Astyanax mexicanus: one gene and its partners. The protein of the gene in region 1 purifies or fractionates together with the protein of each later gene. This does not show direct contact. Links are inferred from orthologs where the notes say so. Each region holds a gene or a part of one and is shown on either strand. Other genes may lie near its edges. The genes, in order: rpl7l1, pes and rexo4.

Region 1 (7,480 bases):
CTTTTTTGAGCTCTATTTACCCTCTGGCACTTTATAGCACTATAGTTTTTCAAAGCAGCTGGTATTTGGTTCGTGGATCATTCTCAGCACTGCAGTGACACGTATAAGGTGGTGTGTTAGTGTGTGTTGTGCTGGTACAGGTGAATGAAAAAAGCAGTGCTGCTGGAGTTTTTAAACACCTTAGTACCACAACACTGCCATCAATATTCCAGTGCTCTAACAACTGATATTGCCCCAAAAATATCCAGCCAGAAGCTTCCTGTGGGCACTGATAAAGGGCTAGGAGATAACCACACATGCTGTACAGCAACAGATGAGCTTCTCTCTCTGGCTTTATCTACAAAGTGGAGCAGCTATGTGTCAAATAGAGGTGACAATGAGTGGACACAGTATTTCAAAATTTGAGCAGTACTGCTGTGTCTAAACTATGTGTACCAGAACAACACACACTAACTCACCACCACCAGCATTTCAGTGCCACTGCAGTGCTGAGAACAAACTGCCACCCAAATACTAACTTTTTGGGGGGTCATGTCTATTGAAAAACAGGGAGAAAGGAGAATAATAAAAAATAAATACTCACCTAGAACCCATCAGAAGCATTAAGAAAACAGCGATTATTAAGCTTTGAAAATCAGTTAGCCATTTCCATTTACACCAGCTGTTTGCTAGCATAGCTGCAAACCAGTGTTGTGAGGCTAATAACTAAACTATAGCCACATTTCACACATCCTATCAAACCCAAAGACATACACACTATAACCAAGAATTCAAGGATTCAAGGAGACTTTAATGTCATTCACATCACATGTGGTACATGAGGTGGAATGGAATTGTAATCTTATGGTCCAGTTTACACCCAAATAGCGATTGTTAAAATAGATCAATAACATAAAATAGAATAAAATAAAATAGATAAAGATAAATACAGAAAAATAGGGAGAGAAGGCAACATAGGTAGCAGCAACATGAAGTCAAGAGTGCAAGTTTGCTATAGCAGCATGATTGTGTGATTGAAGAGCAGTAAAAAGATACAGTGTCTCAGTGTGAGTAAACTGACAGTGTTGTTTTTAATATATATTGTGCTTGTAAAGTGTCTGTGATTTCTATGTGTAGTTTATAAGTCTTACAGCTTCAGAAATAAATGTAGTTTTGCACTTGATGCTCCGCAGCCTGAGGGGAGTGGGACAAAAAGTGCATGTGCTGAGTGGGTGGGGTCCTTCCTGATGCAGGTGGCCCTTTTCCTGCATCTGGAGGTGTAGATGTCCGTGGTGCTGGGGAGGCTGACTCCAACAATTCTTTGTGCAGCCTTCACCACCCTCTGCAGAGCTTTCCTGTCTGTAGCAGAGCAGCTTCCATGCCACACGTTGATGCTGGAGCACACGACACTCTCCACCACACATTTGTAGAAGAAAGTGAGGACAGTGATTAATTTAGCTTGGAAATATAGTAAACCTATAAATCATTTTATAGGTCAATATTTTTTTTTTATAAAAAATTTACATTTTTTAAATGTCTGTTTTGTACCAACTAGCTTTAGGTGACAGTTTCCAGTGACCTTTTACAAGGCATGGATAAACTTATCTTTGCCCTTTGGAACAGAGCCATAATTTAGAAACCTTCTTTCTGGCAATTTTTACTAATTAGTTTTTAGTGTCAGGCTCCAGTCTGTGGATTCGATTACTCAACATCCTTCAACCATTTAGTGTGCAGTTTCAAAACTTAGTGCTCCGGTGTACACTCATCAAGCACTGTAGTGCCGATATCCAATATTACACATATAACCTACATATCTGCATATCTTACAGAGAGACAAGACAACCTGGTAAAACTTTAACAATATCAAAAATGTAATATAATAAATCAAAATGTTCATAAATCAATTAATTTTAAAGTTTACAGAAGCGCGACCAGTGTCGCTTGGTCCTTTTCTGGCAAACAATAAATATATCAGCAAGTATCTGTTTGAACTATTGGCCCTATTAACCAATGCCAATGATTATAAAAAAATGTAAAATATCATTGAGCATCACTAGTAAGACCACAACCGAAGAGCCTCCCTTTAAGCAGATTTAGTTTGTCATGGCACAAATTGCATAAATTGTTGAAAAAACTTTTCTTTGAGATCTATGTTGATCATGTTGCTTTATGCAATTTCTGCAGACTTTCTAGGTGCAGGTAATGCTGGAAATATCCCTTTTTGCCACATTCCAAAAAGGCAGGTTCAGTTCATGAATTCATGCTGTTGGTGCCAGATTCAGACTCTAATTTATATATGCCTCAGAAGAAACTGAGATTCATTGTTTACACCTTTCAAAACAAACAATGTTATTTTACAGACAACACACAATTGATTACAGTTCTGTATGTGACTTTTTCTTGTTCTTAAGGAATATCTATCTGCTTGCTGCAACATTTTACAGGTGACGATGCCATTGGAATACAAGAAAGTGTCCAGAAGCACATTCTACTTGAACCTGTTTAACTACATACATGTACAGTAATATGTACCACTCTCCCTAGTTCTATGTTGCTCTCCACCATTAGAAACAACATACTGAAACACTCTCACTTCTAGTCCCACCCAGTTAGCAATAGGTACAAGTTCTACTAGCTTCATGCTAAGATGGAGAATTAAAGGCAGAAACTGTCCGGCCACATGGCACACCATCAATACAGTGTGTTTGGTTTCTGCAAAGAATACTCAATTTTTTTTTTTTATCTTGACCTTCTAAAAGGAGTTCTGTGATTTTTTTACAAGCACGCCTCAGGCTCTACAGTATGGAAGCCCATTTCCACCACCTGAAGAAAAAAAAAACGTCCTCAACTAAGTCATAATTATGAGATAGAAAAGTCATAATTATGGGATAGTAAGTCATAATTATGAGATAGTAAGTCATAATTATGAGATAGTAAGTCATAATTATGAGATAAAAAAGTCATAATTATGAGATAGAAAAGTCATAATTATGGGATAGTAAGTCATAATTATGAGATAGTAAGTCATAATTATGAGATAGTAAGTCATAATTATGAGATAAAAAAGTCATAATTATGAGATAGTAAGTCATATTTATGAGATAAAAAGTCATCTCATAATTATGACTTTCTATCTCATAATTATGACTTACTATCTCATAATTATGACTTACTATCTCATAATTATGACTTACTATCCCATAATTATGACTTTTCTATCTCATAATTATGACTTAGTTGAGGACGTTTTTTTTTTCCTCAGGTGGCGGAAATGGGCTTCCATACTACAGAGAGTACATAATTGTGTTGTAAAATATTTTTGAATTTTGTTTTTATACTTAGAACACACAAATATATTTTAGTTTTCTTAACTGTTCTTATTTCTCAAAGTCTGGATGATAAATTCTGACTGTAACTCCAGCATCAGCTTACCAACAAGTATCAGCTCCCAGTAGCAGTAATGCAGCGCCTTTACTGCTTAAAACCTGTATACTGCAAAATATACTGTAGATATATAGGTATGTTTTCTTTCCTTTTTTCGAAACACATTATTCTACTTTTCAAAATTAAAGGAATATTCTGGCGACGGATTGGTTCATATTATTAATCTGTGTTTTAACCGTTTAGCTTTATCCACGCCTATTCATTGAGGACTTGCTCTCGGGCTCCCTCTAGCGATTCTCACTCGTTATCTGTCTCTGTATAAACCGGCTCTGGCTTGTGAACGCAGATACACAGCCGTTCAGTTCAGCAATCACAGCAAATATGATAGAGTTTGTTTAATGCGTTCATGGACAACACTGTCAAAGGTAAACTTTTGAATCGTTATCGACTATAAATACAACTTAAACTTTCCCGCGAGATTGCTTACTCAAAAAAATGTTCAAAACAAAACCAGCGCTACAAAATATATGTAAAACAGTATCAGAGCTGGAACCGCCTTCCTGACTGTAGTAGTATGAAAAGCTCTGGTCTGACTGTCCACAGAGCAGTTTTACATATCTAGGTAGTTTTGACTACTAACAGGTTTAGGCAATACAATAAGTACAGGTATATAGTCTGGGCATTTGCAGCCTCTTTATTAATATTTTATTATTATTATTATTATTATTATTATTATTATTATTATTATTATTATTATTATTTTATTATTATTATTTTTATTTTTATTATTTTATTATTATTATTATTATTATTATTCGTAGTTGTAGTAGCAGTAAATTAGCATTTTTTATAATTACACCCATAGACACACGCTACACTGATGTGCATGATTTGTGTATTTATTCGTTGTTACTTTTGTTTTATGCTGATTTGTCTCGTGATGTTTTGATTTTTAAAAAATCTGAAATTAAATTTATTTATTGAATAAATGTATTAAAAACATGCCATTTGATTGGTTGCAGGAATAGTGACGGACAGCCGACCCCGCCCCCTGACTGCTGCGCGACCATACTGTGGGAAGAAGCGTGCAGTGTGACGTCGTCTGTGTGCGTCGCGTGGCAAAGAACGATGGCGGAACTTGAGTACGTATCCAGTTTGTGTTGATATTTAATCGGACTGAATCCGCGGTGTTAACGCGCTCCGTGCTGCAGGTTTTTCACTGATCCGGGGGGATAGGGTCTGGGCGGTGTGCTGCTGTGTGTATTTTGTTGATATGGGCTTGTTTAATAAGTGATCGGTGGGCCGGCGCGCTCACATGGGCTCGCCTGTTCAGCTGTACTGTAGACCGGAGCAGCTCCGGCCAGACAGGAACAACTGTAGTTCTCTGAGTAAAACAGTTATAACCGCTAATCAGAGAGCCCTAACTGTATGTAGTGTTCAGGGCACAGTGCTGTAGAGGATGTCCGCGCGGTGAAAATAACAAGGTTTATATTTAGCTGATCTGCTGAAGTGTATGCTGTTCTGTTGCTTTTAAGTTAGCCTAGCCCAGTGAGAGAGGCCTGCACCTAGATCTTCTGTAGCTTCTGTGTAAAAAATGAACTTGGGTTTTTAATTAACTGAGACTGGAGCTGCGGCAGTTGTGCTATAAGCCCTTTAACACCAGTCGAAGTGGCCAGCAAACAATGTTGCCTTGTTTTGATACCCACAACGTTTCCACAATGTTGATGTGTTCTAACACACACGCTGCGTTCTGTCGTCAGATAATGGATGATTGGAACATGTATGAAACATGATTGGGATTTTAAATGTTATGATATGAAACAAACAGTTCAAGATGTGAAGGTTTGTGTTGTAAATGGAGCTGCAACTTAATGCCTTCAGTCTCTGCTTTATATGAATATTGCTCCTGTCTCTAGCTTTCTCTATCACAAACAAATAAAAACTGTGAATGTGGGATTTAAATAGTAAGATGTATTTATAAAGCAGTCTTTAAATAACATATCAAGGTGCTGTACATGGAATATGAGTAATAAAACAAATAACAGCAATAGGCTCAACACCAAGAATACAAACATACAATAAAATAATCTGAGTCTCTCAGTATTCAAATGGAAGTTTATACAAGCAAGTTTTTAGACCTGATTTAAAAACAATATTGAAGTGTCATGGTGAACATTGGGTGGTAGACTGTTTCTTAGATGTAGTCTGTTGTTTCGCAAATGTACGATCATCTCAAAGTTTGAGACAAGCCTGAGGAACAGCCAACAAATTCTAGGATGATGTCAGAGGTTATGTGAGGCCAGTGGGCCAGTAACCCTGTAGCATTTCTTAAGGTTAAAACTGATAGAATGATTTATTGTTTAATTATTTAAACACATTCTAAAACCGTGTGCTCTACTGTAACATCACACATGCATAATTTTATATGCCTGTATTTTTCTCTGCTTCAGGAAACAGAAGGTTATCAAGCTGGTTCCTGAGAACCTTCTTAAAAAGAGGAAAGCATATCAGGCTATTAAAGCAACCCAAGCCAAGCTTGCTTTACTTGAAAAGAAAAAGGTAATTTTCAACATTTTAAGTGAATACTGATTAAATTACATTTGAACTGAGATTTAAACAGAGGTGTGTTTTTTTCTTACAGGTACACAAAGGAAAATCCCTAAAGTTTGTACGCCTTGAAGAGTTTCAGAAGAACAGCAAAAAGAGTCATCGGGATGACCTCCGTATACACAGAGCCAAGCAGAGGCCTCCCCCTCCAATGCCACCAGCCAAGAACACTTTGGCTTTTGCTGTCCGTGTTCGAATGTAAGCTTCATTTTTCTGACATCATGAAAATATAATTTCTTAAATTTGCAGTTTCTCCAGGTGCTTGTTTATCTGTGTTTGTCATTTGTGTTTACATTTTGTTTGCTTATTATTCTACCATAGGATCAAAGGTGTCAGCCCCAGGGTTAAGAAGGTCATTCATATGTTGAGGCTACGGAAAATCTTTAGTGGTACCTTTGTCAGAATCAGCAAGACATCACTCAATATGCTCAAAATTGTGGAACCATATGTGGCCTGGGGGTAAGATGTTCTTTGAATGTATCAAGACGGTGAAAAGTTTTATTGTTATTGTTATCCTTGCAGATAATCTCACCTTTTTTGTATTTTTTGACAGGTTTCCCAATCTGAAGTCTGTTCGTGAGCTCATCTTAAAAAGAGGCCAGTTGAAGATTAAAAAGAAAAAAATTCCTCTTACAGATAACACGGTTATCGAGCAGCATCTTGGTAAGCATTGTGACAGTGATCAGTTATTTTTGCATTCCGTAACCCCATATCATTTTAGCATGTGAAACGATAACTTCACAATAGCCACTGATTTTGGGGCTGTAGTAGGTTGTCTCTTGTTTCTGTGTATTTAGTGTTTCCTGAATAGTTTCTGACTGTAAAGTGTTTTGTAAATTTGTCAAAACAAATTAAACAGCAAATCATTTACTAGTAAACCAACCCTTTTACCTTGTTTACCTTTGATGAAATCTAAGAAAGTGTTCTTACTTGCATTTTTAATGTCTGACCATGTATGCTCATTTTCAAAAGTTTTAAATTTCAGTTGTCTGTTTTAAATTTACTAAACACAATCTCTGTTCGATCAATAAAGGGGAGCATGGAATCATCTGTTTAGAGGACCTCATCCATGAGATTTACTCCACTGGCAAGCATTTCAGGATGGTGAACAGGCTCCTCTGGCCATTCCGCCTGTCAGTACCACGACATTCTGCCAGAGATAAAGTCGGCCTTTTGAAAGAGATGGGGGATCCTGGACCTAGAGCTGAAGACATTAATTCAGTCATCAGGAAATTCAACTGAGTTGAGCTCATAATGTACTGCTTACAGGGCCAGTTGCTGGAAAGCCCATACAGCCTGTCTCACCAAAAACAGATTCAGTGTCCGGAGTATTGGACCAGATTCTTCTCACTTCTTCCTCAAAGAGGATTACTGGACCAGATTTATTATGAACTGTTGAATGGTTGGTAACCTGATTGTAAGGATTGAACTGTGTTTACCATGGTGTCATAGGTCACACTATTTAAATGTCAATGTGCTTTGTAATGAGCACTACTTGTCTTGGAAGAAT
Region 2 (7,580 bases), on another chromosome or scaffold:
AGTTGTGAGGTGTTACCTTGTGAGTGAGGCTAAACAATGGCCAGCATCTTGTGGCAAGATGACATGAATTAAAAATCTAAATAATGGCTAGGTGGTTCATGAGGTGTTGTTGAAGTACTGGTAATGGTTGTTAAGGGGTTGCTAGCGGCTTGCTAATATGTTTTTATGGTAAATCATTTGGTAGCTAAGGTGTTACTAAGCATGTTCTAAGATGCTGCGAGGCTGTTAAGGGTGTCTAGATGGTTGATGAGGTGTTGCTGTATGATACCTGGTGGATGCTAAAGCACAGCATCTGGCTATGCAAACAAACACACATGTCCCACAGGTCAGTGCAGCTACTTTTCCTGCCATTGGGCATGTTAAAAACTAAATTAATAAAGATTTTTCTAGAGAAAAAGAAATTCTAAAGTGGCTTTATAGTAGAACGTATAGTTAAAGTCTAAGTTTAAAAGTCATTTTGGAGCATTTTTATTGGTCCACTCATCAAGATGCATTCAAACAAAGTCAAGAACAACTGTCAAATTCACATTATGAAAAAAAACAACTTATTAAGATGTAATTTTGACATTATGACCATAATTATATATTGGATAAGATTCATCCCCTTTTCATAGAAAACATAATATTAATTGGACAATAAGCAAATTACCTTCATGGCCTATCTAAATCTTTATTATTTACTCTATTTGCAGTCAGTGGATTTTCTAAAGTCTAAGGTTCATAGTCGCCATCATAAGCTGGGTATAATTCATATAAATATGATACATAGGATTTAAATTTATTTGGCCAATCAAAAACAAAAAGCTGTAAATATTAACCATAAGAGACTCTTTAATCTGTTAACCTTTGCTGCCAATAAGAACATCCTACACTTTTGGATCAGTGATGCTGTTCCATCTTTTAAATCATGGCATAAACTTACTATTGAGTTTATCCCCAACTAATATATCTCATGTCTGCTCAATCTACTATGGACAGTTTGGACATTTTCTCATGTGCATGTAATTATTTAGACTTGTCTCTTTCTTATCCTTGTTACTACTCAGTCATGTCATATCCTGAGATTTTATTTTGTAATTTTGTTTTGTCCTGTCCCAGCTGGCGCACAACCGAACTTCAACGTTAAAATGACTAAAGTAAAGTCTGTTGTTGTTTCAATGCTGAAACAATGTTGAATCAACATTTAATGTTAAATGTTTGTGCAAACATTGAAATTTTAACGTTGAATCAACATAATGTCCACAACATTCTGCCCTTGGAATCAGCATTTTATATTTTATCACCATATAATTTCTAAAAACGGTTGGTTGGAGGAATGAAAAAGTGTTTTACTTCTATATGTAGTAACTCCTTTTTAATTTAACATCATGTTCATGTTCTATTTGTTTTACTGTTTTTTGTATTTTTTTGTAACTTTCTTTATACTCAGATTAACTGCAGTGATGTAAGTTTATTGTTAACTCTCTGTTAAGCGTAGGATTTTCTAATTTTGGTTGAACACGTTGAAACAACGTTGCTATATCAGCGTTGATTCAATGTTGATTCAACCATAACATCAGCGATGATCAATATTGATTTAACGTTTATTCAAAGTTTAAATGCCAGCTGGGGTGTTGTAAAATCTTATTATTATTTTTTTTTTAAAGCTCTTTTTTAAAAGGCTCTAAAATGCCAAAGTTGCTTTAGGCATATTATTTGGTGTAGCATCTTGATGTTATTGTTCACTGAAGAACTCCTCCTGTCAGCAGTGACGTCACCTGCGTCATCAATAATAATGCGGGATACAGTTCCATCACAAACAAAGACCAGAGATTCTGTTTATCTGCAGGCTGACTGACCAACCAACCAGCAGCAGCCTATACCACCATGTTTCACTGATCTGCTGTAAACCATGAGCACCAGCAACTAGATGCTTTGTTAGCTCAAAAATTATGACTCAAAGTCGACGAGACAAACATCTGACCAGGAAACAACAAAACATTCACTCCAATTATCACTTCCTCCCAATAGAGAGCCACAAGCAACAAAACAGGGCTGTGATTCCAACATAAATATACTTCAACTAAGCCATGCTCTGCTACTCGTCGTTATTTTGTAATGTGAATTTACCAACAGAATATATTTAAAGTAGGACTAGAGCCAATCTTACAAAATACTTTAAATTAATAAGTATTAAAAAAAGTGTTACAGATCATAATAGATAATTCATCAGCCTTAAGTTGGTAGTTTCTACCATTCTGTGCCACAATACTTTCATCATTTATGTGTTAATAGGTTTCAAATAAATAATAGAAATAAAGCAATTTAAAAAAAAAAGATGTCTAGTATTTTTAATGCAATCTCTATACAATTTCTTTAGGAACTTATTATAGATATTTTATAGATTTTAGAGGTTTATAGCTGGTAGTTTGTATTGTTGGGTCCAAATGCTTTCATAATTGTTTGTCAATAGTAGTCATAAATTATTAATAGAATTCCAATAAAGCAATTACAATTGCTTTATTCATTGCTTCAGAATTAAAAAAAAAAAGAATTGTATACAGTTCATAGTATCAAGATATTTCCATTTTCATATCTCAATCTCTTTGCCATTAATAACCTTAATACAGCATAATACAGCTACACATAAATTAAAGTTAGAAATTATAATAGATAACAAGAGCTTGTAAACTATTAATTTTTGCAGGCATGCAGATACTCACCATATGAAATATGTGATGACCAGAAACTGTACAATTCTGTAAATGACTCCCAGAGTCCTGTTCTTCACTACCATGATCTTTGGAGTCTCATAGTCCCAGAAACCCAGGAAGAACTCCCTGAAGAACTCCTTCAGTCCCATACTGACCACAGACACGGGACCCCAGCAGATACTGGTCTCTGTTATCTTCCAGCACACTTTACTGCTCTCTCTCTCACTCTTCCTCTCTCTCTGTACTTCTGTCTCTCTCTACCTCTCACTCACTCCACTTCTCTCTCTGACTATCTTTCTCCCTCTCTCTCTACCTCTGTCTCTCTGATTCTCTCATTCTTTCTTTTCTCACTCTACCTCTCTGACTCTCTCTTTCACTCTCTCTACCTCTCACACTCTATACTTTTCTCTTGAACTCTCCCCCTCTGACTCTTTTTTCCCTATCTTTCCCTCTTTCTGACTTTCTCTCTCCCTCTCTCTCTACCTTTCACTTACTCTACCACTGTATCTCTGACTCCCACCTTCTCTTTTTCTCTCTCTTTTCCTGACTCTTTCACTCTCTACCTCTCTCTATGACTCTCTCTCTACCTCTCATTCGCTCTACCTCTGTCTGTCTCTCTCTCGCTCTATATCTCTTTCGCCTCACCTCTGCCTCTGACTATCTCCCTCTTTTATCAATTTCTTACTCTCTCTCATTCGCCCTAACTCTCTCTTTCTGACTCTTTCTCTTTCTACCTCTCTCTCTGACTCAATCTCTCTCTACCTCTCTTTGCCCTACCTCTGTCTCTCTATCTCCCTCCATACTTCTCTCTATGACTCTCTCTCTCTAGGTCTCTCTCTCTCTTTCTCTGTCTTTCTCCAACTCTCTGGAAACATCTTATCTTATTATGTGGTTTTTCTGCACATCCGTGTTGGGTATTAATTTCATACACAGGAAACAACTGTGCCATGGTCAACACAACACACACACAAGCATATTATTTAAAAGAAAACGAAAATAAACTCTTATAGAAGACTCTACCACTGTCTGTGTTCTAACCCCCAGACAGTGCTCTAAAAGACTGACAAACTTTGACCTGGCCAACTAAGAAATTAGACAGGCAGCACTACAGGGCTTTAGAATATCAGCGCCCAAAAATAAACACAGGTACAGTACAGGTAAACAGAGGGCCCACCCCTGTCATTGAATTACTGCCGTTTTTCACCCGTCAGACTTCTAATTCCTCTTTAAACTGCTAAAACGGAGACTTAATCTAATGTTAAGCTGAGCTAAAGGCTAAAGCTGTTTCCATGTGGGTCAGCCAGACGTCTTCCTGTACCAGTTTCTTCCAGTTTCTTTTTCAAATTATTATGATGAAAGTGTTTGACTTTTTTTTTATTTATTTCCAAAGCTCAGTTTATTTTGATTGCTACTTACTAGCTGTAAGCTGTTCAACAATTAATTACTTGCTAAATATCACCCCCTCTTTTTAAAACAATGTATAGATTTATGTTAAAATACTTTGTTAAAATTTTGTACCATATTTCTGTTTTTTTTTTTGTTGTTGTTTTCCAAAATCCAAAAATCAGGATTACATAAAAGTTACATAACAATATGACAAAAAGAGTGAAAGAAAGAAAAAGATTAATACAAAGATGAAAAATAGATGATGAAAATGAAGCAAGAAAAAGAAAATGTATAGGGAAAACAAAAGAAAGAAGGCGAGAAAACAAAAGAAAAAGTACAAGAAAAAACGAAAAGAGAAAAAAAGGATAGGAGTCGGAATGTAAATAAATGTGATTTTTGATCAGGCGCGTGTTCGGGCGCTCAGTCAGATGCCGGGGTCCTGTGGTCTCCGCTGAGTGACGCCACGCAGCCGCGCACGTGTGGAGCGGAGCGCAGGATCTGTAGCAGCAGCGCTGAACCCAGAATAACAACAATAACGCAGAATAACCCAGAATATCAGGGAATTACAGCGGTTTAACACCAATATCCAGCCGTAACGCGCTGCAGCTCACCTCCAGTCCGCCATGGGAGGATTACAGAAGAAGAAGGTGAGGAGAAATCAGCAGCCCGGGCCTTTAAACTCCCCTGATCACTAACAGCTACTGAAACACTAACTAATAAACTCACTGACAGTCTGTATAACTGTTTAATGCTGCTGAACTATGATTACTGACTGCTGTATAGATTTATCTATATCAACACTGCTTAAATTGTTATTGAATTATATCCAGAACAACACAGTTAGCTTTCAGGCTAATAACAGCAGCTAACGTTACCTGTGACTGCATGGTGAGCACGAGCTGTGCTCACAAAAATACCTGACCTACCTTAACAGAAACTGAACACAACAAATTGCATACTACAATTTATTTTTAACGGGTTTATAGATCACTTTAAGACTTTACTTCAAGAATATGTTATGGTGCTAAGTTAAGTTAAGGTGCTTTTATCGTCATTCCATCTAAGTACATGTACACAGTGCAATTAAATTAACCCTCGTTCCTCTGGAGACATGGTGCAACATAGAACAACAATACAATCTAAACAACAAAGTACAACATAGAGCTAAAACACCACAATAAATACAGCAGACATGAAACATTTAGCAGACATAACACTTTATTACCGATACGGTACAGTAAAAGTGCTTGGTGAGAATAAGGTGCAAAAATATGTAATATACTGTAACATGTGGGTCATACACTATAACAGCAGTTACTGAAAGATTATGCATGACTTAGTGGAACGCCTTTCCACAGAATATGAACAGAGTTGAAATCAGATACTATTTCTCCCTCTAGCTCTCTACCTGTCTCTTTGACTCTCTCTCTCTACCTCTCGTTATGACTCTTTCTCTCCACCTATTTCACTGACTCTCTACCTCTCATTGACTCTCTCTCTCTCTCTGACCACCTCTTTCTTCCGTCTGTCTGTATTGCTCTCTCTGCCTCTCTCTTAAAGTCTCTCTTTCTGTTTCTGACTTTCTCTGACTCTATAACTCTTTCTGACTGTTTCTTTCTCACTCTTTTCCTCTCTTTTACTGACTCTGTACTTCTCTCTCTACATCTCTTTTTCTCTGACTCTCTACCCCTCTCTCTACCTCTCTCGCTCTGTGTACCTCTCTTACTGTCTTATTCTCTCTGACTGTCTGTCTCTTTCTGGCTGTCTCTGTGTCTCCGACTCTATTACTCTCTCTCTAGTTTTCTACTTCTCTCTTAATCTCTCTCTCTTTCTGACTCTTTCTCTGGTTGTCAGTCTCTCTTCCTCTCTCTCACTGACTCATTGTACATCTCTCTAACTCTCTCTGACTCTTACTCTTCCTTTCTCTGACTCTATAACTCTCACTGAATAAAATTTGTGAAGTCGCAGAGCAATTTTATTTTAGTGCATTAGAGATAAAAAAATGAAATGCGAATGTGATTCACCATATTTTTGAATATGGGTTAAACTCCTGAAAACATGCAGATTTCTAAATGATATTTATATATGTCTCATTTTCATAGCAGTGCTTTTTTTAATTCTCTAGATGTTTTCTACATGTTGTGCTATTGCTGTAATGATTTACTTTTTGTTAGTTACAGATGAAAAAACTAAAAATCAAATGCAATATTTCTTAGTTTTTTGACAATGTGAATTGACAGTTGCTCTTTATATTGTACTAGAATTTCTTGGAAAAAAAGAAGTAATTTTAGAACATTTCTATTGATGCATTCAGCATCAGAAAGTTCAGAATATCTTAATATTATCTAAACATTGTGCACATCTGGAAATACAGTATTGATATTAATATAATGCATTATAGGTTTGATGATGTCAGTACATTTTAAACCTCTGTCCTGCTTTATATCTGCTAGTACTTCCTCAAGTTCTAAGCTATTTAATTTTCAGCTCTTTCAATTTGAACATTACATTTGTAGGACTGTAATTAAATTGCACATTTAAACACCGTTGGTATCATGCAGTAAAATAGTATGGCAGCTGTACGTTTGCATGTGAAGCTTTTGCTAGAACTGTTAAGTATTGGGTTGTGACTTTATGCTCTCATAATGTTGATTTATCCTGTCAGTCTTTCTGTCCAGTGGATGAATATTAAGGGTTTATAACCTGTTTCTCTCTGTTTGCAGTATGAAAGTGGGTCAGCCACCAACTACATCAGCAGAAATAAAGCTCGCAAGAAGCTCTGCCTGAGCCTGGCTGATTTCAGGTGAGTACTGGACAAGCATAATACCTAGTACCAACTGATTTAATCCAGCTGATTATGTTTTAATGTGATTTTATTAAACACTGATATATATATATATATATATATATATATATATATATATATATATATATATATATATATATATATATATATATATATATATATATTGCCTTCTTCATTGTTCTGATTGGTTCAAAGTGATTAAATAACCTGTAGGTAGAACTTTGATGAACTAATAACAATGTGCTTCCTCATTTCCTCATTTTTTTTGATTAAATGTAATTTTTATATGTTTACTCACAGGCATATTCCTTTGTTGATATGTTAAAAACAGTATCCCTGTGTGACTATAAAAGATAAAGGATAAAATACCACTGATTGTTATAGTCTACTGTTTTCTTTCATGTTTTTAAACATAAAATAAAAACATAAAATTGAACAAATATTTTTTAGAACCTCAGATATACTAATAACACTATTGCACAAACAAAGTATTATAAGACATTATTAACTGTTTTGAATGTGATTCATATATGTATATATTTGTACCAGTTTGTCGACATCTCTTCTTATTCTTATTTTTTCTTTTTGCATTTTTTTTGCATTTTTAAATGTAATATTAAAAGCTATATTAAAGCTATACAGGAACACATGCAGAATTATGAATTATGTTTTATACTTTACATTCGTTTAAGTTT
Region 3 (7,641 bases), on another chromosome or scaffold:
AATTAATGAAGTGTTGCACCCGGACAGAGTAACTGTAGCACTGTTGCTATTAGCAACTCAATACTGACTTAGCCCATAGCCTGTCCTGAGAAGTTTTGCTCTGACTGGAAACAGTGCAGGCTGGAGCACACAAGTAGAAAGCACACATAGAAATGCAGATAATTCACTCGTACACACTCTCTTTCTCTCTCTCACATATTATAATACAGAACAAAAAGATCTAGTCTGCCAGACCACACTACACTATTCCAGCATAAAAAATAATGAATCGTGATTTTAATTCATTTTTATGTGACCCAATGCTGAGATTTTTTAAAAATAACTGAAGACTGATGCGTTTGTTCCAACAAGATCTAAAAGATGAAGCCTCTCATGAGAACCCTGGTTTCAAGCATTTAATAAAAGGGCTTAAGCTCCGTTACAACATACCATCCAAAAAAATAAAACATGATAATGAAGATTAATTGTTATTATGAAGTTAATAAAGGAGAGGCTATACAGAATGCCCAGCCTCTTAATTTTTTCCACCAACCGTACAGAAAACATACCGAACCATGGGGTTTATATCGAGATTAGAACCAAATCGTACATTTTCTGTACCGTTACACTCCTACTGTATATTATACAGTATACAACAATATACTATTTATTATATACTAGATATTGTATCAATATATATCTCAAGGAAACATGTTTCAAAAAACGGTGATATGATCTAATTTACGCTACTTTAGTATCTGTCACCGACTGGTGATGTACTGCTGTTTATTGAAATAAGGATGAGCAGAAAGAGCAAAAAAAATATGCTTTCATATCCTGACTACATCAGTGCGTAATGATGTAAAGCAGAGGTGAAGGCATCTAAACTGATCATATCGATATTGGAATTGTCTTTTATCAACTGAAATGAAGACAAAGTAGATATCATAGCATCCATTATTAAGAATGACAAGTCTGATGTTTTTTCAGATTCTATAGATTGTGATAAAAAAACATGAACACATACTCTGTTGGTTGTTTTTCCACCTCTTCCACTTTCTTCTTTTTGTTGTTCTCAGGTCCTCCTTCACAGTCCTTTGCTTTCCTCTTCTCAGCTTTATGCTGTTTGGGTGCTGAAGGACTTTTGCTGGTCTGCTGGACACTGCTCGTCTCTGGCTTCTCAGTTTTCACACTCTGTGGTGTCTTAAGGTCCTTGTTTGGTCCGTGTCCTGTTTTGCTTATGTGTTTATCTGGTTTTCGCTGAGCTTTGTGGAAGTCTTTCTTTACTGCTGACTGAGGCTTCGGTGCTTTAGATTGTACTTGTTTTTGTGAAGAGTCCTTCTTACCGTCTGCACCCTGTTTAGAGTTCAGAACCTGCATTATAAAGAAGGCACAATAAAAAATGTCAGTCAAAAAATATAAAAATGCAGCAACATATTCTCTCTGGTGGGGATCCAGAAACTCCATATAAATCCAATATTAGGCTACATTTTAGACAGACCTACAAGGAGACTGTAATGTGCAAGCTGCAAACATACACATACTTAAAACAAGGCCCAGAATGATAAATACAATATTGATATATTATTCATTTTTGCTCACCTTTGATTTCAATCACTTTTGGGACATTAAACTTGTGTTTACAGTTGCCAGTCTAAATCTAGTGTTCACATTCCACTTTAGACATGCCTTTGTTAATCGAGTGTATTTTTTGGGCTTACTGATACATCATGTACTTAAACCACCAATCTCTCCACACACACAAAAATAGACTGAAATGTCTTTATCAGTAGTCTTTCCCGCTTCCTTCTATAGAACTATAAACTTTCTACCTCAGTAACTGCTGTGATCATGTATTTTCTATATGTTACATATCTCTGCACCTTATCTTCCCCAGAACATTCATTGCACCGTATTGGTACTGCACTGTCCGGTCTGTTACATTGTCTCGTCTGTTGTATTTATTGTGTACTGTGTATATTAACAACAAGACACACAAAAGGAAGGGACAAATATCAACCTAGCCAAGTATAAGGAGACAGAATTCTCTTAAAAGTTAAGCCTGCAGATTCTTACAAAAAAAACTGTTAAAAAAAATTTAAATACAGTACCAGTCAAACACACCTGGACACACCTTCTCACTCAATGTTTTTTATTTAATTAAATTTGGACTTTGTAGATTAATATTAAAGACATTAAAAACAATTAAGGGACACATGGAATTACAGTAAACAATAATAAAAAAGTGTTTAGCCTTCACAAAACACTGAGAAAACTATTCCAGCTGACCAGCTAGCCACTTAGAAGAATCTAAAGTACAAAACATATTCTGGTTTGTTTAACACTTTTTGTTTACAATTATCATTCTACATGTGTTTCTGAATAGCTTAAATATAATCTTCAATATTATATTTACAATGAAGAGATCATTAAAAGAAAGAAAACACATTCAATGAGAAGAGGTGTGTCCAACCTTTTGACTGGAACTGTATATGAATGATATAAAGGATTCAAAATCTGTTTTGAACATTGACATTAATTGTAACAGAACGAGGAATGGATTTTGCAAGGAAGAACATTTAGTAGCTCACCTCCAGGAGGCTTTTCCAGTTAGATGAAAACTGCTGCGCCTCTTTAGGTGGCAGGATCTGTATTTTCTTCTCTTTAGATTTTTTGTCCACGCGCTGAAAGAAAAACTTCTTCTTTTTCTCCCCTTTTTTATCCGGACCTTTAGCTTGCTTCTCTGTTGCAGCACGAACATCAGACTTGGGTCCTTTGTGCTTCCCTTTAGACATCGTTAGATGTTCTTTTAAAGTCATCAAATCGACTAAACTGTGAAGCTTAAAGACGCTGCTTATTCCTCCATATCAACTTCACACAACTCCACACACAACTCTGGAGTTCTGCTCCTTTACTACAGAAACCAGCCCGATGAAGGAGACTGGCGGGGTAATCGGTGTCTAATAAAAAAATCTTTTTTTTTTAAATAAACACGTTAATTAAGAAAATCAGTCTAACAGAAAGGTTTAAATCGCTCTTACAGATCGGTTCTGATCCACGCAGCCACCATGCGTGTTTCAGTTGTGTGTAACATCTAAAGCGGCCCGGCGGGTAAAGGGTCCTGAGCGCGGCTCTCTGAGTTCCCAGTGGAGAATTCTGGAAATAAACTGAATTAAATTAGTACTCGAGGTTTAATCGGACTGTACGATCTATAAACACATTAACGTCGTATTGGAATATTCTTAAATATCTGTAATAATCTTAAGTATCTAAAGGTTTGTGTTTTATTAGGGGATTAGATGATTTTCACTGTAATTCCCATAATAGTTTACATAATAGTTACTGCTCTACCCGAGGTCTAGCACTAGATGTCACAGTTTCACTTTTTAAACATTATTTTCTCCATGTGTTATTTAATTAAAAAGTTAAACAATTGTACCCTCTTCATCTTAATAATGTTTCTTATAAATACATTGTTGTCGTTCCTTATTAACTACGAGGCATATTCCGCAGGATCTGTGCCATTTCTGTCCCCAAGAAATTACATGTATAAATGTACACACAAAACAATTTTTTAATAAATTTTATTATTTAGCATAGTTTTTTTGTACCTTGACCTGGTTGCAAAAGTAAGATTTGTAATTAAAACATTAATAAAAAAAAAAACTACTTAGAACGCTGTCCCCACTCTCAAACTATAAACTTTACCATGAAATATAATTATTAAAATTCTTCAGATAAAATTTTTATACATAGTTGTGTGATTCCAAATCCCATGTATGCTTTAATTTTTTCATAATTAATCCTTAAGATAATATGCACATTTTAGTTGTGTCCCTGGGTTTTATATTACCATCTGAAAAATCTGGAACATTCTACAAGTCACATCTACAACAGGAAGTGACAATAGCTGGTTCCTCTGAAGACCATGAGAAGACCAAAATTAAGTTCCCTCATTTGATTTTCTGTATATTTGATCTTATTGTAACTATGACTTACTTATGACACTTGTTCCTAAATTAATTCTTAAATCTTATTATTATTATTTTATACAAATTTTGGGAAAATCACGTTTGCTATTAGCATGGCCATGTTTCATGTTTTTGCTAATTCTAGGCTAAAAACTTAGTCCTGTTACCCATAACATAAAGATTAACAGGACTGAGTGACAGTAACAGGAGTAAGTGCCAGTAACAGGACTGGGTGCCGGTAACGGGACTAAGTGCCAGTAACAGGAGAGAGTTCCAGTAACAGGAGTGAGTAGAGTTCCCTGGTTTATTGATTTATTCATATAAATATTAGTTAATGTAAAAACCTTTTTCCTATTCTGTTTGGTTCATTATTTATCAATTTCTTTAATAAATTGCATGATAATAAATTTGATCAATTTCAGGTTTGTTACTGGAGCTCACCCCTGACCCCTGTTAGTCCTGTTACTCTTTATGTTATGAGTGACTGAGTTTTTAGCAAAAACATGAAAATAGCTAAATTGTGGCTATGCTAATAACATGAGAACACATTTTAGTAATTTTCCCAAAACTTGTATTTTAAAAATAAATAAGATCTAAGAAATATTATAAGTAACAAGAAAGAGTGTTGAGATTGACCTCCTCAGTCATTGTTACAATAAGATCAAATATACAGAAAAACAAATGAGGGAATTTTGGTATTCTAATAATGGGCTTCTAAAAGAACTCACAGCAGTTCCAACTGCCTGGGCATGCCGCAGAGTAGGAATCACTATGGATCATTGTGGCTAATCTTTAGATCCTTAGCATGGCAGTGGGACTGATGTGGTGATAGTGTGTGGTGTTGTAGTACAAGTGGATCAGACAGCAGTGCTGCAGAAGTTTTTAAACACCTCACATTCAATGTTGGACTTAGGAAAATAACCCACAAACTAGAAATATCCAGATAAGTTTGTCCTTTTCAACACAGTGTTTAAAAACTCTAGCAGCACCACCTCCATGCCAATGTACCCGCAGTGCTAAGAATGACTTAATTATGAATGAATTAAAGTAGCTAATAAAATGAATGATTGCAGAAACATAACTTTCATAGTATTCTCAATGTTGTTACTATATGTTAAAGCCAAAGCTACTGCAGATACAGGCATTTAGTTTTTTTAATACAATTTATTTTATACACGTTTACACATACAGCAATCCTTCTTTACAGCAAATTAATTCCATGTCATTCTATTATAAATCATCAGACTACTCTCTCTCCCTCAAACACACAAAAACATACAAAATACAATAAGCATTTCAATATTCAGCTTCAACATCAGAAAAAAATACAAAAATAAAAGTAAAAGAATAGGTCCTTTCTCTCAGCCTTCTTCACCCAAAAGCTCACATTCATCACTGTTCAAAGAGCATGTATATTTTATTAATGTATATATTTGAAAAGAAAAATCTCAGAGCAGCTATTATCAATATTTTTAACAACTGCTAAACCACTGCATGTAAACACACATATGCACACCCCTACACAGAAAGGGTTAAAAAAAAATAAAGTAACATGTTTCTGCCAGGTCAGAATATGACTGATTATCTCAAAATGTCAACTTGTTACCTTACATTTTAAATACACATGGTAAATAAAAATACTTTCTCTACCATTTTTGTCATTTTCAGAATATAAATTATATTTTTTATACTACCTCAATATTTTAAAAACAAGTCATATTTGGAGTTACAAAGTTAAAACTTTGACAAAATGGGTCATTTTGTGATGCAAATTATTAAATATTTAACATGAAATTCAACAGGCATTCATGTAAAAATAGAAAGCAAAAGAAAAACACCAAAGAAATAAATAAGAAAAATAAAATATTTTTTAAAAATAAGTTTAAACTGCTAAATACACAGGGGTGGCAGTGGTGGGTGGGGTGAGGGTATTTGGGATTGGAGTAGGCATGCTATATTCAAGTGGAATGACTGACAGTTCTCCAGGTTCTGTACTTTAGAGCACAGGGACTGGAAAGCCTCTTAAGCTCATTTCATTTCATCATTTCATGCTCCTTTCATTATTCTCTCTCTTTCCAAACATCAGCAGTTTGAATAAAATAGAGTGAGGCTTGAGTTTTCACTCTAAGGCACGAGGGTGATGACCCTGAACTACTCTGTGCTGAGCTCTGACCCAGAACCGTGTGAACCTGGCAAATTTCTCATGGTTGGGACACGAAACAATAACTCTTCAGGACTAGGACACCTTGCCAAGTCTCTAATCAGTATGCCCCAAGCTCTTACTGTACCCAGTATTGTACTTGCAAATCACTCAATCACATCTGCTGGAGTAATTAGATAAAGAACAACAGTTAAAACACTGTTTGCATTAATACAGGGACTCGTGAAGGTGTTGGACACGCCATATTAGTTAGTTAAATGTGGAGTATGATGATATCAGGATCATCTGTCGTGCAGTTTTATGGAGGGGGAAGGTAGCCCAGAATAAGGCTGAGGTACCTGCATCCCATTATGGATAAGAGTGATCAGCCCTACTATAGAGGCTGTGAAGAGAAGTGACTGCATAGAGATGTTGCATTAGAGTGGCATCAAAGTAGACCATGTCTAGGCTATTGTAGACTAGATTTTTTTGAGAAGTGTATTCAATAATAAAAGGCAACAGAAAACTAACTGGTGAATAACAGACTTGTTACATAAGGAGCTCAGTATATTCTAAAATAAAAGGTGTTCTAAAGAAGTATTCAACAACATATGACTCCTGTACAGCAGACTTGTCCACAACCAACAACTTGTCTACAGCCAATACAACCAATTTTAACAGAGTGGTCTACACAATAAAAGACCGGTCTGTAGAAGGCACAAACTGGTGTACAGAACAAAGATTTAAATAAACCTATCTATAATAGAGTAGGCCCGAATAAAAGACTGATCAACAATAGCCTGGTCTACAGAGCAGCTTTTAAGTGAGCTAGTATGTAAAACAAGACAACAGATTACTGAAGAATTGCAGACTGAGCTAAAAAGGCTGGTCTACAAAAGAAGATTAGTCCACAGAATCTACTGATCTACTGTAGACTGGTCTGTGGAGCAACTTCAAGGCAGATTACTCTAAAACAGACTGGTCCACAGCTGACTGGTCTGTAAAAAAGATTTGAAGTGGTCTAGTCTAAAACAGATGAGTAGCCTACAGCAGATTGGTATACAACAGAAGACTACAGAGGTCTATAGAACCAGTTATTATATATGTTGATAAATCCATTTGATTCTCTATGCTAGACAATACCTATCTATACTAGAAGACCAATCTATACTAGATTAATAGAGCAGCATTTTGGTAAATGGGTCAGTCAAGCAGCTGTCAAGCAGGCTAGTCTATAATAGCAGACTGGTCTATTGTAGACTAGTTTCCAATAGGAAAATGATCCATACAGCAGCTTTTCAATAGGCTAGTCCATAATAGAAAGGTGGTCTTCAGAAATGTAGCCTAAAACACTTTTTTTATATAGCAAATGGATGAATTATATATAGTACAGTGGTCTACAGAGCAGTTCCTTAGAAAACAGGCTTGTAGAACAACTGGCCATTGAAAAGACGGCGTTTGAGCTCCTTATACAGCAGACTGCGCTCTCGCTGTGAACCCTTCATGAAGCCACGGTTCTCCTGTGCCCGGCGACACAGATATGGGATCACC

Evidence for each region.
Region 2: the proteins of rpl7l1 (region 1) and pes purify together in Homo sapiens (affinity purification with mass spectrometry; 4 studies listed by BioGRID and IntAct, counting the BioPlex papers as one, with this or other methods). This does not show direct contact. The link is inferred for Astyanax mexicanus from reciprocal best matches to the Homo sapiens genes RPL7L1 and PES1.
Region 3: the proteins of rpl7l1 (region 1) and rexo4 purify together in Homo sapiens (affinity purification with mass spectrometry; 3 studies listed by BioGRID and IntAct, with this or other methods). This does not show direct contact. The link is inferred for Astyanax mexicanus from reciprocal best matches to the Homo sapiens genes RPL7L1 and REXO4.

Annotation. Positions count from the first base shown.
Region 1 is NC_064408.1:58,096,638-58,104,117, forward strand, and holds the start of rpl7l1 (60S ribosomal protein L7-like 1), read left to right. Parts: upstream 1-4,405; 5' UTR 4,406-4,491; coding exon 4,492-4,505; intron 4,506-5,813; coding exon 5,814-5,922; intron 5,923-6,004; coding exon 6,005-6,168; intron 6,169-6,291; coding exon 6,292-6,429; intron 6,430-6,523; coding exon 6,524-6,633; intron 6,634-7,003; coding exon 7,004-7,212; 3' UTR 7,213-7,480.
Region 2 is NC_064429.1:31,266,329-31,273,908, reverse strand, and holds the start of pes (pescadillo), read left to right. Parts: upstream 1-4,525; 5' UTR 4,526-4,702; coding exon 4,703-4,726; intron 4,727-6,802; coding exon 6,803-6,882; intron 6,883-7,580. Other genes in the region: p2rx2 (P2X purinoceptor 2), read right to left, coding at 2,703-2,842. UniProt on the Homo sapiens protein: Component of the PeBoW complex, which is required for maturation of 28S and 5.8S ribosomal RNAs and formation of the 60S ribosome.
Region 3 is NC_064424.1:25,787,928-25,795,568, forward strand, and holds the start of rexo4 (RNA exonuclease 4), read right to left. Parts: upstream 3,093-7,641; 5' UTR 2,799-3,092; coding exon 2,571-2,798; intron 1,354-2,570; coding exon 1,007-1,353; intron 1-1,006. Other genes in the region: prodha (proline dehydrogenase 1, mitochondrial), read right to left, coding at 7,503-7,641.